Saccharomyces cerevisiae S288C: one gene and its partner. Changing the gene in region 1 together with any one later gene gives a genetic interaction. Each region holds a gene or a part of one and is shown in the gene's direction. Other genes may lie near its edges.

Region 1 (10,884 bases):
TAAAAAAATCACGGGAAAAGTTCGAGCCTCATCTATCCAATTCAAACCAACATTTTGGAAATGTAACCTTCTAATAATTTGTCATTTGACTGACGAATCGTTAGGCACAGTTATATAGTTATATACACATAGACATACATATGTTCGCATATATATTATATTACTATGCATTCACCTAAATAGCTACTGCTCTATTAATACAGTGCTTTTTCGATGGCTTTAATTTAACTTATTAGACATTACTTTGCGTTTATTCCCCTCCAATATATTTTTATGTTTGTTTTTCTTGAACATTTTATGATTTCTTGCTCTTGGCGGCTACTGATTTTGTTAAGCAACTCATCAAGAGGTCAAAAAAAGTAGAACGAGATCTTTGTGTTCGGTTACCCGGCTCAGATCCTAACTTGGTATGTTTATTCGTATAAGTTACTGTTGTCCACAGGCAATACTCTGCAGAAAATTAAAACGGCATTAATGCTAGGACAACCAGAACTGTTACTACTGTATGTGCGATAGTTGATAACTGCAACATTATGCCCGGTATATTCTCAAAAAACCCTATTACTGCATACGAAGAAATCGCAAGAGAAATCTTTCGGTTTGGAAAAGCTCACTGTGAGGTTCCTTGGAGCCAATAGTAATACAGCACAATCCAAGGAAAAATCTGGCCTATATGCAAGGAAGGAGAGATAGTCAAAAGCATTCTTTCCCCTAGAAGTTGGTGCATATATGGCATCGTTAAAACATATTACCCCCAAAATTTCTTCTCTAAACGATGTGCTTGGCCTTTGTTTTGGTTTTTGATGTCGGTCGTTTGAGGCCCCTTGCGGAAAATCGAGATCGCCGAATGGCACGCGAGGGAAGGGAAATAAGGTTTAAAGGCACTGAAACAATAGGCAAGAAGTAGGCGAGAGCCGACATACGAGACTAATGTGTCCGCGTTTCTAAGGCCACTTTTCAATGAAACGGATATTGATATGCTAGTAAAAGGACGAGCTCAAGAGCGAAAATATAAGTAAAGAATTCGAGTGCACTTGTCTCCATGCAGCAAGATTTCATATGAGTCTTTTTTATCTTTTTACTTTTTACATTACACGATATGCACTTTATGAAAATTTAACGAGGTTGGAAGCCGGATAATCAACCAAAATCAGGCACGAAGGCACACTCGTATATGCATGTTGTTGAAACTCTGTTACGCTGAACTAACAATCACACATGTAGAGGTCACCGGGAAAAGTTGCGACCCCATGGAAGGTCGATCTCTTCGTTTGGCTTTGCTTGGCTGGCGGCATTGCGCTTCTTCGCTTATACCCGTCTCTTGACGCTCGAGCTCGTTCATTGAGATACCTTTATTCTTGCACATTTTCTGGCTTTTTTCGCTACTCGGGTACATGTAATCATGCACACAGAAGGTGCTGTAGGGTGAAAGTTCCTTTGTGCTGTCGTTTGTTTTTAATGCCAAACTTTCTGGTGATCAATAACCACCTCTTTTTCCTTCAGGAAACCTTATTATTGTTCTTGGATAGTACTAGGAAGTATATAAGGAACCTCGATTTTGGTATTGCACGGCTATACACATCTAAGAAACTTTGTATAAAAGGTGGCTACCCTATTCATAGCTTGATATCAATAGGCCATCTCATCACTTTTTATTGAAAAGGAAAGGAGGGAAATATATCTGATTCAAATTACTTGTTTGCTTCTCTTTAAGACAAAAGCATAGATAATTTCAGCGTGGAACGCCGGAATAAGATTGGTACCCTCGTCAGAAAGTTACAAATACCGCTTCATCTTCAAAATGACTTCACCGGAATCACTATCTTCTCGTCATATCAGGCAAGGAAGGACATACACAACCACAGACAAGGTCATATCGCGGTCGTCGTCGTACTCATCTAATAGTTCAATGTCTAAAGATTACGGCGATCACACACCCTTGTCCGTCAGCAGTGCAGCTTCAGAGACATTACCCTCACCTCAGTATATGCCGATAAGGACATTCAATACAATGCCTACAGCTGGCCCAACGCCTTTACATTTATTTCAAAATGACAGGGGCATTTTCAACCATCATTCTTCATCAGGCTCATCAAAAACGGCATCAACAAATAAAAGAGGAATAGCAGCAGCAGTAGCATTGGCAACTGCTGCCACCATACCATTTCCACTGAAAAAACAGAATCAAGATGATAATTCCAAGGTCTCGGTAACACACAATGAATCATCGAAAGAAAATAAAATTACACCCTCCATGAGAGCAGAAGATAACAAACCTAAAAATGGTTGCATCTGCGGTTCAAGTGACTCCAAGGATGAGTTGTTTATACAGTGTAACAAATGTAAAACGTGGCAGCACAAGTTATGTTATGCTTTCAAAAAATCAGATCCAATAAAAAGAGATTTTGTTTGCAAAAGATGTGACAGTGATACGAAAGTGCAGGTTAATCAAGTAAAACCAATGATATTCCCTAGAAAAATGGGAGATGAGCGATTATTTCAATTTTCATCCATAGTGACAACTTCAGCATCGAACACAAATCAGCATCAACAGTCTGTGAATAACATAGAGGAACAGCCCAAGAAACGTCAACTTCATTATACCGCCCCAACAACTGAAAATAGCAATAGTATACGGAAAAAATTGAGGCAAGAAAAACTGGTAGTATCAAGCCACTTTCTGAAGCCACTACTGAATGAGGTAAGTTCTTCCAATGACACGGAATTCAAAGCAATAACAATATCAGAGTATAAGGACAAATATGTTAAGATGTTTATTGATAACCATTATGATGACGATTGGGTTGTTTGTTCTAACTGGGAAAGCTCAAGGTCAGCTGACATCGAGGTAAGAAAATCATCAAATGAAAGAGATTTTGGAGTCTTCGCTGCAGATTCTTGTGTTAAAGGTGAGCTAATTCAAGAATATTTGGGCAAAATTGATTTTCAAAAAAATTATCAGACAGATCCAAATAATGACTATCGTTTGATGGGAACGACAAAACCTAAAGTACTTTTTCATCCACATTGGCCTTTATATATAGACTCTCGAGAAACAGGCGGATTAACAAGATACATAAGACGGAGTTGTGAGCCCAATGTGGAACTAGTAACGGTAAGACCGCTTGACGAAAAACCAAGAGGAGATAATGATTGTAGAGTTAAATTTGTTTTAAGGGCTATAAGAGATATTCGTAAGGGAGAAGAGATAAGCGTAGAATGGCAATGGGATTTGAGAAATCCTATTTGGGAGATAATAAATGCATCTAAAGATTTGGATTCCCTACCGGATCCCGACAAGTTCTGGTTGATGGGGTCAATAAAGACTATTTTAACAAATTGTGATTGTGCATGTGGGTACTTGGGCCATAATTGTCCAATAACTAAAATCAAAAACTTTTCTGAAGAATTCATGAGGAATACGAAGGAATCCCTATCTAATAAATCTTACTTTAATACAATAATGCACAACTGTAAGCCATAAACGAAATTTTAAAATTAATAGTATTCATTTTAATCTTTTTTGAAAGCTTAATTTTATCATCATAATTTTTCTTCCAAAACTTCAATCTTGGTATTTTTTTTCGCATTGGTCTTCATTTTTTTTCTTTTGTTTTTAGCTTTAATGTTGAAAGCGTGAATATCAAAACACTTTTATAATAAATCACCACTTTGTAACTATAGAGAACAATTCATGCTTTATTTATAGATGCCACGATTAAGCATCAATCATTAGTTGAGAGGATCCTTAACGTTAAAATCCACCGCACTTTTCCTTTCAAAAAGCTGCATTGTTTCCATAATTCATTTCATGGCAGGTTAATGACTTATTTGATATGAAGAGTGAGGTTCTTATCAAATGAAATTCCTACATATGAATTTTTTAAAAGAGAGTTTTTCGTTTTACGATATTTATTTACTTCATCATCGTTTATCATTTTTCACGTAGCAAATTTTGAAGCTTCAACTTATAACTCATTTGCATCCGATTCACATATTTCAGCTGACTATAAATTTGGCAACAGCTTCGTGACTTGAGCATAAGAAAAACATAGACTTGTTGGATATAAAATATGGCTCACAGGGCTTTCATACAGGTTATAATCACAGGAACTCAAGTTTTTGGAAAAGCATTCGCCGAGGCGTATAGACAAGCGGCTTCACAATCAGTGAAACAAGGTGCTACAAATGCATCTAGAAGGGGAACAGGAAAAGGCGAATATGGTGGTATTACGTTGGATGAGAGTTGTAAAATTTTAAATATTGAAGAATCCAAGGGCGATTTAAACATGGACAAGATTAATAACAGGTTTAACTATCTATTTGAGGTTAACGATAAAGAAAAAGGTGGAAGCTTCTACTTACAGAGCAAAGTTTATCGAGCAGCAGAAAGGTTAAAATGGGAACTGGCTCAGAGAGAAAAAAATGCGAAGGCGAAAGCAGGGGACGCTTCAACAGCGAAACCTCCTCCGAATTCAACAAATTCATCTGGTGCAGATAATAGTGCAAGCAGCAATCAGTAGTCAAGGAAGCCTCCATCATTACGTCACAAGTGTTATCGAAAGCATGCAGCAGTGCATATATTTTCCTAGTTGGTTGCTTCCTGTACGTTAGGAATCTTCAACCACCATCCTTGTATTTAGTTAATATTAGTATATGTACCAAAGTAAATATACTCAGATGCCATCTCGATATACGCACCGTACACGAAAATGAAATTAAAAAAAAAATGTTGGAGCACAAGCAAGGCAGCATCAGAACGTACCGTCAGTTGGTACCAAGACAAGTCCATCCCCGTAGGCACTACAAATTATGGGAATGAGAAAGTATACAAAATATAAACTGTCTTATCATGAAGAAGAGTCGCTTAGGAATTTAAACTTTCAAATCGCATTACGCAATTCTCTAAAAACGCGAACCTTTCCCTGATATGTAATCAGGGAATTTCCTCAGAATAATATTCGATCTAAGAAACCGGAAACGAAATGAAAATTGTTACTACTTTGTTTAGGAGTAGTCAAAGTTCATTCAGCTATGGGTTATGATGAAATGATTTAAATTATTCTCGCTCCAGTATTAACTTATTACGTAATATGAGCTTAAAAGAGCAAGCTCCTCATCACTCACACTCCATAACATGAAGAACGAAAATAACCTAATCTTTAGGTTTCTATGGTATAATGAAATTAATATTATCTAAAGATAGTATTAACCACTACTGATGTTAGCCTTTTGAAAAAAAATCAAAAGAAAAATTTGAATTTTAAAGAAGAAGTAACAAAGGGAAGAAGTTTTTGCCAATCGGACAACACTAGCTCTATTTATACTTTTCTGTTGCTCCAAAAACAGGAAAGAACAAATTTTTCAATTTAGTGTGACCCGGCTAATAATAAAGAGGGAAGTAATAGGTAGGGTTTTACTGGCAAGAAATCCATATTGTTGCTCCCGAATAATATTATAAATTCTTGTAATTAATACAAAGTTTCTAGATCCACCTTGTTTAAAAATATAAAGTTATGCTTAAAATTCTTCAGGGAAGAAGGTTTTCAATGGATGATTTTACATTTTTGACGAATTCCTGAGAAACTAAATTACAATGTAAAACTGTACATAAATATAAATATTATTGTTGATACGGAAAGTAAAATAAAAAAAAGAAACGCTAAAGAATACTGAATTGCCAACCTAAGTAAAAAATAAGCGATAAAATCAAAGAAACGGACAGAATGCATATAAAAACTGTAATCAGTAATAAGCCCAAAAAATAGTGATCAGTCCATTTCAAAAATTGGTAAAAATTGTCCCATTACGAGAATTGGGATATTAAACGAGTCCCTTTTTACTGTCCAACAACAGGCACACTTCAAATAAAGACCGTTACTTAATAATAAATTGCACTTAGTAAAGATTGCTTTTCCATCCGTAGTAAAAGAAAACCCTTCTGTAATTTTTGACGAGGTAGAAGAACATGCGTTCAACATCAATAGTTTTTTCCTTTTATTGATATCATTGTAACCAAATGCCAGCAATTCGTTAAATATTTGAAAGTAATTCGAAACGCTTTTATGATCCAGATATTCAAAAATAAAGGAGGTGCGGTCTAATAGTAAATTTTTGTTAAAACCTGTTAAAGAATAGAATTCGTTACTGACAAAACAAATCTCGCCTGATCTTCTCCAGATGCACATCGGTGTGCAGCTTACTAATTTTGCCATGTTCTCCAAATCTAATAAAGCCCTTTGCAAGGTAACTTCCTGTAATAGCAAATCCTCTTCAATCATATTGGATGTTAACGAAATGAAAATTGGAGCATATCTTTCTAGTATAGAGCGTATTATAACTTCTAAATCATATCTCAAATTATGCTTTTGGGTACTGTGTTCGTCTTTTACTGAGGCAGATTTATCAATTTCAGCTCCTTCAAGAAATTTTTTTCTTAAAGTAGTTAGCAGTTTGGTGTATGCGAGCTTGTAATTATGCGGTTTTATTAAACATTTATTGTCATATAGGTCTTGAGGAGTCTTTACTAATTCACGAAACTTTGAAGGTGATATGAAATCGGTATCATGTTTCTCCAGATCTGCATCGGAGTGACTAGAACTGTCACATTCGCTTTCCAGTTTGGCGTTATGTGATGGGTGTGTATTAGCGTTTGCTCCACGATTCAAATGCAGCATGTCTAAAGATATAAAGGGCCTAGACACTACTTCATCATATGTATTGAAAGTAGAAGTGGAATGGCCGATCGAGGAGTCCTTTTGGTCATTCACGCTTTTTGTCGAGTTTAAAAGGTTCGTTAAATGCAATGACGAATTTCCCCGTGTAGATGCGCTAGGATTGGGATATTCTGATTCTTGGAGGGAAAATATCTGGGAGTTATTCGGTAAAAACGGCGTTGAAATATCTACTATATCCTTTAATTTCATGTATTCGTCATTGCACCACATACTATCAAAGTGAATATTAGTTTCGTCATCGACATCATCGTCACTCTTATTACTATCGTCCATTCCAGAGTGCACAGGAACGTTTGAAGTAGCAACCAAACAATTGGTAGCCAGCGGCTGCTGCATTGCTTTATGTTGCTCTAGGAAATGCGACTTTAAATTGAGAGTACTCTTCCGTACGGTGGGTATGATGGGGTCATTCATTAAATGTACTGCTTGTGAAGCTGATATATTATTAGAAGTATTTTCTAAGACGGTCTGGCGGTTATTCGTATTGAAGTTCGTAATACGTGGAATAGATCCAGCGCTTTGAAAGTTATCATTTATATTATACGTATATTGGATATTCGTATTGTGGGCAGGTGTTTTGCCTGGTTTTTCCTGATCTGAAGATAGAAAATCTCGCTGCAGATGTACGCTTGAGGGGGATACCGTCTTCGACGGCACATCATGTATTACCAGCCTCTTCCCCAAATTCAAGTATGGTTGTGTTCCATGCTTCTCAATTCGTTTTCTTGATTTCCTTTTCTTATCTCTGCAAAACTTCCCAATATTTCTTTTTAAACAGTTTTGACATGGCCTCCCTACGTCACACTGTATATGTTTGGTATGACAGAATTCACAAGCTGTCTGGATAGACTTTCTCGTCTGTTTCAACTCTGAAGGTAGTTTTTTGGTCATATGTATATATATTCTTGTATGCTGTATCCAAATATATTATTTCTTTACTCCCTTTATTGCTAAGCTGTAATACGTTAAATCATTCGAAATATGATCTATTCATGCAAAAACTTGATGTGTGTAACAAAGAAAATATCCGGTTCAGAGATCCGAACAAATGATAGTCGTACCCTTCCCCTTAGTGTTAACTCGTTTAAGCAGGCTATGATGATTAGTAAATCGTTTCAGCCTCTTCTCATTTCGACAATTTTTGAGGCCTTCCCTTAGTGAGAGGGGAGATAACCAATCAGCACAGAGAACGACGACGGCGCGGAGGCTGGGCGGTTAAAAGAAGATAATGTGAAATAGATCAACAAGCTTTCTGGTGGCAAAACGGCAGTCAGAGATATACAAAAGGGGCAAGATAAGTGAGGGAGGCTATGTGGAAATGGAATGTGCGCAGATGGGCGGGCGCAAGAGTAAACATTAGCAAGAACCGATTAAGTGTAATTAACGTTGGAAGTAGATACTTATCGACCGCAAGAAGTCCACTGTCTAAGGTTAGAAATATAGGAATTATAGCCCATATCGATGCAGGTAAAACTACCACAACAGAGAGGATGCTTTATTATGCAGGAATCTCAAAGCATATTGGAGACGTCGACACTGGCGATACGATAACTGATTTTTTAGAGCAGGAGAGATCCCGAGGTATCACAATTCAAAGCGCTGCGATTTCATTCCCATGGCGAAATACTTTTGCAATAAATCTTATTGATACGCCGGGACATATAGATTTTACTTTTGAAGTGATTAGGGCTTTGAAAGTTATTGATTCATGCGTGGTCATTTTGGACGCTGTTGCCGGCGTAGAGGCACAGACAGAGAAGGTTTGGAAGCAAAGTAAATCGAAGCCCAAAATCTGCTTTATCAACAAAATGGATCGTATGGGGGCGAGTTTCAACCATACAGTCAATGACTTGATAAATAAATTTATGAGAGGAACAACTACCAAACCGGTGTTGGTAAACATTCCTTACTATCGAAAACAACCGACTAGCAATGATTATGTTTTCCAAGGTGTTATTGACGTCGTAAATGGGAAGCGATTAACCTGGAATCCAGAAAATCCTGATGAAATTATCGTGGATGAGTTGGATGGTACTTCTCTTGAGCAGTGTAATCGTTGTAGGGAATCGATGATAGAGACTTTGACTGAATACGACGAAGATTTAGTCCAGCACTTCTTAGAGGAGGCAGAAGGCGATTACTCCAAGGTTTCCGCACAGTTTTTGAACGCTTCAATAAGAAAACTGACTATGAAGAATATGATTGTACCTGTCTTATGCGGTGCGTCTTTTAAAAATATTGGCGTGCAGCCTCTATTAGATGCTATAGTTAATTATCTCCCTTCGCCCATTGAAGCCGAACTACCAGAACTAAATGATAAAACCGTTCCAATGAAATATGACCCCAAAGTTGGATGTTTAGTAAACAACAACAAAAATCTTTGCATTGCTCTTGCATTCAAAGTGATTACGGATCCAATCAGGGGTAAACAAATATTCATTAGAATTTATTCAGGTACACTAAACAGTGGCAATACCGTTTATAATTCTACTACTGGGGAAAAATTTAAATTGGGTAAATTACTGATACCCCATGCGGGAACATCACAACCTGTAAATATTTTAACTGCGGGCCAAATCGGATTGCTTACTGGCTCTACAGTCGAAAACAACATATCTACTGGAGATACACTAATAACGCATTCGTCGAAGAAGGATGGGTTGAAATCACTTGATAAAAAAAAGGAGTTGACGTTAAAAATCAATTCTATCTTCATTCCCCCACCAGTTTTTGGTGTTTCCATCGAACCAAGGACTTTAAGTAATAAAAAATCGATGGAAGAAGCTTTAAACACTTTAATTACTGAAGATCCCAGTCTTTCAATTTCTCAAAATGATGAGACTGGCCAAACGGTTTTAAACGGTATGGGTGAATTACACCTTGAAATTGCCAAGGATCGATTGGTTAATGACCTAAAAGCAGATGTTGAATTTGGTCAGTTGATGGTGTCCTACAAAGAAACAATTAATTCAGAAACAAATATAGAAACGTATGAGAGTGATGATGGATATAGATTCTCCTTATCTCTGCTACCAAATTCCGATGCCCTTCCTAACTGCCTTGCATATCCATTAGGAGTCAACGAGAATTTTCTGATAATGGAAAAAAATGGTAATTGGGATAAAGAATGGAAATACCAAGTTTCTTTCGAATCAATTCTAAATTCTATTATTGCAAGTTGCATTGTGGGACTTCAAAGAGGCGGAAAAATAGCTAACTTTCCCTTATATGCATGCTCCATCAAAATCAATAGCGATTGGTCAGTCCCACCTGATATTGAAACTCCACAAGAAATCTTAAAAATTACTAGAAACTTAATTTTTAAAGCTCTCAATGACTTAAAACCTGAAAAATACAACCTTCTGGAACCCATCATGAATCTTGATCTAACAATCCCTCAATCTGATGTTGGTACGGTGTTACAAGATCTAACAGGAGCAAGAAAGGCTCAAATTCTGTCTATTGAAGACGAATCAAGCGTGTCAAATTCTGGCGCATCCACTTGTAATTCTCCAGAGAACAGCAATAGGATATATATTCCCTCTGATGCTGTTACAACCCTACACGCAACCAAAGATAAAAAAAACACTCAAGAGACCAGTTCTAATGTAAAAAAAATTATAAAAGCGAAAGTGCCACTAAGGGAAATTACCACCTACACCAATAAGCTAAGGAGCTTATCGCAAGGGAGGGGTGAGTTCAATATTGAATATTCCGATATGGAGAAAGTTACCAACGATCGCCTACAATCAATACTTCACGACTTGTAGCAAAAATGTCCTTAATAAACGCCTTGTTATATCTTTATCAAAATGGTTTTTACAACTATCGAATAGTGTGAACCGATAACTGTGTAGTTGTATATTAATAGAACTTTACTTTTGCGCAGGAACAAACATTTTATTGCGACATAGGCATACCTTGCCCTCAGAGATCTTTATATTCTTGTTCCTCGTGGCCCAATGGTCACGGCGTCTGGCTACGAACCAGGAGATTCCAGGTTCGAGTCCTGGCGGGGAAGAATATTCTTTTTGTCACTAACACAACCATTCTATAAATTGAAGAGAAAAATTAAATGGCCAATATTCTACGTGCTTGTTATTAGAAACTCGCAACAATTGTTCTGCAAGGCCCCTCATTTTTTTTT
Region 2 (6,548 bases), on another chromosome or scaffold:
TTAGAAAGTACAAACGTGTCAGCGTATTTAGGGTGTCAATGCAACAATATTGAAACTATCATTTGTCTTCAGAATAGCGGCAATACCACCATCTCCGCATACCACGTCCATATCAGTGAAATCGGCAGTGTCGCTTTGCAAACAGAGGGCGCTCTCCTCGTCTTTAGTCCAATTTTTTGTTTTCTTGTCAAATTTGTATATCGTCAGCGAATTGCTCTCGTTTGAGTATGCAATCATATTCTTTCCAGAGTCGTCAATGTCATAGGTAACGGTGCCCGTCTTGAATTCTGGGATTGTGTAAGTTGGATACGCTAGCGTGCCGACATCCTTTCTTAGGTCAAAGCAAACCACAGTTTGGTCACACTCTACTACCATCCAGTACCCATTGTCTGCAAATTTAACCTCTTTTATCTTGGCTTCTTCATCTACGGGGAATCTAGAGCTTGCCTGGTCAGGTGATGACAAGTTGTAAACGTCTAATATACCGTCCGGAGAGTAAAGGGCTAATAATAATGAATCCTTATGTAGGACACCGCTGCTGTACTCAACATCTGATTTAGCAGAATGAACAATATACTGGGAATCATCCTCGTAGGATTGAAATCCTATGGTTCCTCTATTATCCGCCCAGATGAAGTACTCTGTGTTGACCTCGTTGTGACCATACATATATATAATCTCATTGGCGGAATCTACCTCTATTTCTCTGAGGACTTTGTTTGTTTTTGAGTCCAATATAGTTATTTGGTTACCTGGATATAGTAGTAGCAAACGATTACAAGGCCCTCTGGAAATAATAGCTGGATGCTCTCCCCCGGTACGGGGATTTGGTGTAGTTATTGTGGTAATCGTTTTCGAATCTTTTAATTGGGTAAAATGTAAAGCACCATCCTCACAGCGACACATGCACACCCATTTATCATAGTACATAGATTTGTTAAGCTCTTTATATGGGAATGTTTTGATGTTACGGGAGTAATTTTGTGCCTGTAATAGCTCCAAATTTTTTAAAATCGGCCATTTGGGTGCTTTGAGCTTGCCCCTCGCTACAAAGTCTCTAGAAGATTGTAACAGCCCTTGTAAAAATTCTTCTCTCGTAATAGCTACCGCTTGCTGTGAGGATTTGGGTAAATCCTTCGAATCTTCGTTTTTTTCCATCAATAGTTGCGCAGCGACCAACTTTGCAGCATCTCTTTCGTACATTACAGTCGACAGTTTTTTCGTTAAACTATCTAGAGTTGATCGTAACTTAAAGTTTTCGAGCATTATAGCATCCCATTCATTCTGTAAACTTGTCAACAGATTCGGAATCGAATAATTCGCTTTTAACGTAGCAGAGTTTGTAGACTCTGTTAGTGAGGCTTGTTGCGCACTAGGTACGATTTCCACTATTTCTTCGATGCTTAAGGGCTCATTTGTTATCGGATCATTCCCCGTATCTTTAACATACTGTTCAAGGAGCGACTTTTCAAAAATAGTCCTGGATTTAGGTGATAGAACTGGCCTTCTAGGAACTTTCCCACTAATAGCACAAAGCATTGTTCCCTAGTTGGCTTTCTTGGCTATGTTTTGGTCTTTAATATTTCTTGGAAAGTTTGCATCTTTCTAAAATTGCCCTTACGAATTTTTCACCGCTGCTACCCGAAAAAGTACGAAATTTATCAACATGAAATTTATTCCTGCCAAGTCATCGAGTGCTCTGCGCCTAAGGCTTAGGTTGCATTTAAGTTGTCTTAATTCACGCTTATAGTGCAGGTAGTATAGGTTCCCCACTCCTGATCTTTCCCTTCTGAAATAAGGAAAGACTGCAGTTTAGTTTGGCAGAGAGAAGAAGATAATCATTTCTATTATATTCTACCGCTATGGTGATAGATTCCAAACAGGATCTACCTCAATATACCAAAGATTCAGGTTCAGAATCGGACTCAGACTCAAGTAATAATTTCATTGTGGAATCTCCGTCAATTCCATCTTCAAAAAGTGCAACCGTAGTTCTCAATAGTGAAGAGTATGAGGACGACGAAGGTGATGACTTGAACGGGCTGGATGCTGAATTGATCGATAATATAACGTATGAAGGAGATGAAGATGAAACTATGTTTGTGGGGTTGAAAGAAAAACAGAAGTTACATTTATCTGGTGTTTTCCGGCTGCAAGTGGTGAAAGGAGGTATTGTCTACAACAATGTACACTATAACGCTTCGAGAGAAATTTTAACCTTCTGGCACCCGTTATCACAGTCCATACCTACTATAGATTTTTCGCACTTTGCAGGCTGGCAAGACACTTTTTTTATGCCGAGAAACAACAGGTTTAAAATTAGAGATGAAGAATTCAAATCATTTCCATGTGTTCTTCGCGTTTTTAATTCTAATCATACGGGCTTGTTAGAAGCAGGTCATTTATATCGGGATGTTAATTATCTATGGAAACCTAAAGAACCTTACTTTCCATTAAACGAGAGAACAACGTATCATTTATTACATGAGTCAGACCGAATTCAATCTTTATCCGTGCCGGGATATTGGTCAACTCCGTTAGAGAAGTTATATTTGAGTCACAAGAACGCTGCGTATGATACAAGAATCATGGTGATTGGTGGTAAAAACTCTGGGAAGTCTACATTCTTGAGGCTTTTATTGGAAAAATTTACGCAAGATATACGAGATTCTACTACGAGCCAGGAAGAATTGGTATACCTGGATTTAGATCCTGGTCAACCTGAATACTCACTACCTGATTCAATATCCCTGAATAAGATTCTTTCCAGCCCTATTTCTCTCGGACAACATCTCTGCCAAGGTTCAAATTTCCAAACTTTGTTACAGTTCTACGCTGGCTCCTCTTCCCCGCAGGACGAGCCCACATCATACCTGAACTGCGCTGATAAACTTATAGACCATTTGGAAGAGCAAGCCTTCTTCGGAACGTCATTGCTTAATCTACCTGGGTGGATAAAAGGATTCGGGATGCAGATTTTAAATCATATAATAAGGAAATATAAGCCCACTCACTTATTGTTTTTGGAAACAGCTAATTCGAAAAGACACCTGGATGAACTAACAATTCCACAGAGTTTTTCCACATCACTACGAGATGCATATGCACCTGAAGTTGTTCGCGTTCCAGCCCATAGTCTGAACCACACCTTATCTTCTAGGTTCCATGCATCACAACTGAGAACATTCAAAATACTGGCACTGTTTCATAAAATAACTCAATTTGATTATGATTTTGCGCCTCTTTTAAAATCTGCACCTTTGCAAATTTCATATGGCAAAGGTAAAAGCGGTATTAAAGGCATTCAATTTCCTATGGAATTCCAGGATCTGAATCCTCAAGATATCAAGTCCGCATTGGAAGGTACTGTCATTGGGATATATACATATTCTGGAGAAGACTCACTAGAGGTGAAATCCTTGAATACCTTTCCCATCCTACAATCGTGTACTTCTTCTTCTAAAAATTTCATAACTCTGGGGCTGATACACTCTATTGACACCTCCCAGCAAATAATGAACATTTACGTGCCACCTTGCCATACCCAGATTTTAGATAAACAACCTGAGGATGCTCAATGGATAATAGTAAGAAATAAGACGGAAACTCCTTTTTGTGACTTTCTTCCATCCCCCCGCACAATTACATGGGATGATAATATACAAATACCGTTCGCAACTTTTGAAAGAAGGAAAAAATTGGAACATGTGTGGAAAGTTCGTAAGAACGTCATGAGACGTGGCCAATTCATGAAAAGATAGAAAGAAAAGGTAATCGTACATTTTTTAATAGTGAAAGATAGAGGATACACAAAAATCATGCAAAGTTTTATATATTTGTTATGTATACTCATATTCCTTCAATATCTAAGTCATACTAACTTCTAGGGACTTTACCAAAATATTATTTATAAATTTATTGTTTCATTTCTTCCGCATCCTTCATCTCCTCCGTTAAACCCATTTTCTTATTTAATCTATCATATTTCAGTCTATCTTTATCGCTCACAGAGGGTTTAATCTTTCTTAATGCACTTCGGAAGTCAGACATGGTCACAATAATTTCTTCGCCAGATACGCCAACCGATAGATCCTCAAATTCCTTGTCTAAGTCATTATCAAGAACAGATTGTATTTCTTCGCTCTGAAAAAACTTCCTTTTTAGAGCCAAGACTGAACTCTCCCTGACTAAAGCAGCCAAGTCAGCGCCTGAAAAATTGTTGCACTTCTCATTTCTGATAATTTCTTCAAAATCAACATCGCTACTCAGAGGTGTTCCGTGTGATTTGGTCAAAGTTTTGATAATATCTAGTTTTTCCTCAGTATTAGGTAACTCAATAAACAAACTCTTATCCAATCTGCCCGGTCTTAACATAGCAGGATCAATCATATCAGGTCTATTAGTGGCGCCAATCACAAAAATTCCCCTTCTATCGTTCAGCCCATCTAATTCCGTTAACAAAGTGTTGACGACTCTTGAGGAGGATTCGGACAAAGAAGTATCTCTTCTTGGCACCAAAGCGTCCAGTTCATCAAAAAATATAACACACGGTACAGACGCCCTTGCTCTAGTAAAAACTTGTCTGATGGACCTTTCTGATTCACCAACGTATTTATTTAATAATTCAGGACCTTTGATTGATATGAAATTTGCACGAGATTCATTGGCAACAGCTTTTGCTAGTAACGTTTTACCACAACCTGGTGGTCCCCACAATAAAACACCACCAGGGGCGCTAATTCCCACTTTTTCATAAAGCTCTGGTCTCTTGATGGGTTGCACAATAGCCATATTTAATTCAAGTCTAACTCTTTGCAATGCGCCTACATTAGCCCAAGTAACATCAGGTACCGTAGCGAACCCTTCTCTCTTTGCTGTTGGTTGAATTGTTGGCAACGCTTTCAAAAAATCTTCGTACTTAATCGATAATAATGATAACTGCTCTCCTGATAAAGGCTCAGGATAATTACGAATAAATTGTTGGACTACGGATAAAGGCAACGGATCGATCATATTCGCAGTGTTCTTCAGGCTAGATTCATCTCCGTTTGCTGTTTCATCAATTTCCATGTTATCTTCTGAACTGTCCGTTGCCGTAGTTGGTGTGGATTTTATATTAGCATAGGTTTGGAAAATTCTTTTAATAGCGCATGTACCGGCAGCAGTAACTAAAGCCTTTAAATCAGCGCCAACAAAGCCTGGGGTTAATTTTGCCAATTTGGCAAAATCGATAGCACCATCAATTTTTAGGTTATCAGACATTTTCTTTAAAATATGTAACCTTGAGACTTCATTCGGGACATTCAGGCATATTTCTCTATCGAATCTACCTGCTCTTCTCAATGCTGCATCCAAAGAGTCAGGTCTATTCGTGGCACCTATGATAATAACAGGTTTTCCATTTGTCTTTTCCATCGTTAATTCATCCATTGAGGTCAATAATTGGGCAACTATTCTTCTCTCCATTTCTCTTTGGGCTCCTCCATCACGTTTTGGTGTAATGGCATCTATTTCATCAAAGAAAACAAGACATGGTGCCAAGCTTCTCGCTTCATCAAACAAATCCCTAATCTTTTTCTCGCTTTCCCCAGACATACCACTTACGACTGAAGGTGCAGAAATAGATATAAATGGGACTTGTAATTCTCCAGCTAACGCATTAGCAATCGACGTCTTACCGCAACCCGGTGGGCCATGCAACAGAACACCTCTAGGTGGTTCGACACCCGTGGATAAAAATATCTCTGGATGAAGAATGGGTAGACCTATTAGTTCCATAAGTTGTGCAACGACATCATCCATACCACCTAAGGATTTCAGAGACGAATTAGGTGGAGATCTATCTTCCTTGATTTTTTGACGTTTTACCTTACATGTACCTTCTTTGGATCTTTTTTTAGATTTTTTAACCTCTTCTGTCTTAGGATCATCAGTTTCTGTTATAGACTCGGAAACAGATCCAGATTTGGACCACGTGCTAGTTATGCGTTTGTTCATCTCATTTGTGTCTCGCTCAATCATCATATTTTTCTTAGCTAGTTCTTCTTCCAAGCTTGGTTTCTCTTCCTCTTCGTTGTTGTAACCTGGGTAAGAACCAAATTCTTCCAATTCTGATTCAATCACGTCTTTTAGCATGCGGTCAATTGTCTTTTGTAAGACAACTTTCTTAACTCTTTGAAGTGATAAATCTTTAGTCAAACAAAAGGTAAAAATCTCACCTGCTGTTAAATCTTTAGCGAAAAACATGGATTCAAATATATCCTCATCTTCTTCACCCTCGTTGTTCTCGCCCTCTTCTCCTTGGGATTCTTGTCTCAGAGACCTTTTTCTGTCCAAAGTTTTTTCTTCCAAGAGACGATAGATAAGATCGACGATCTTGTTATCTAGAGAACTTGTTAATGAGTTCTTTTTCGACTTTACTTTAACCATTATTCCAGCCTTCCCACCACGTAGCTATTATCGGCCCTAATGATCTTTTATTCTAACTGACTCGCAGATTAATTCACACATCGGTTGTTAATCATTGTTTGAATTTCCAAAATATGCGA

Evidence for each region. A genetic interaction does not mean that the proteins touch.
Region 2: mutations in MEF2 (region 1) and GRC3 together harm fitness more than expected from each alone (negative genetic interaction), as found in Saccharomyces cerevisiae (one large-scale study listed by BioGRID).

The regions. Positions count from the first base shown.
Region 1 is NC_001142.9:223,254-234,137, forward strand, and holds MEF2 (mitochondrial elongation factor MEF2), read left to right. Parts: upstream 1-8,047; coding exon 8,048-10,507; downstream 10,508-10,884. Other genes in the region: protein kinase IME2, read left to right, coding at 1-74; SET4 (Set4p), read left to right, coding at 1,802-3,484; import motor complex subunit PAM16, read left to right, coding at 4,074-4,523; GSM1 (Gsm1p), read right to left, coding at 5,772-7,628. UniProt on the Saccharomyces cerevisiae protein: Mitochondrial GTPase that mediates the disassembly of ribosomes from messenger RNA at the termination of mitochondrial protein biosynthesis. Not involved in the GTP-dependent ribosomal translocation step during translation elongation.
Region 2 is NC_001144.5:66,718-73,265, forward strand, and holds GRC3 (polynucleotide 5'-hydroxyl-kinase), read left to right. Parts: upstream 1-1,862; coding exon 1,863-3,761; downstream 3,762-6,548. Other genes in the region: E3 ubiquitin-protein ligase PRP19, read right to left, coding at 28-1,539; putative AAA family ATPase RIX7, read right to left, coding at 3,916-6,429. UniProt on the Saccharomyces cerevisiae protein: Polynucleotide 5'-kinase involved in rRNA processing. Required for the efficient termination by RNA polymerase I and the processing of the IST2 pre-rRNA internal transcribed spacer localized between the 5.8S and 25S rRNAs.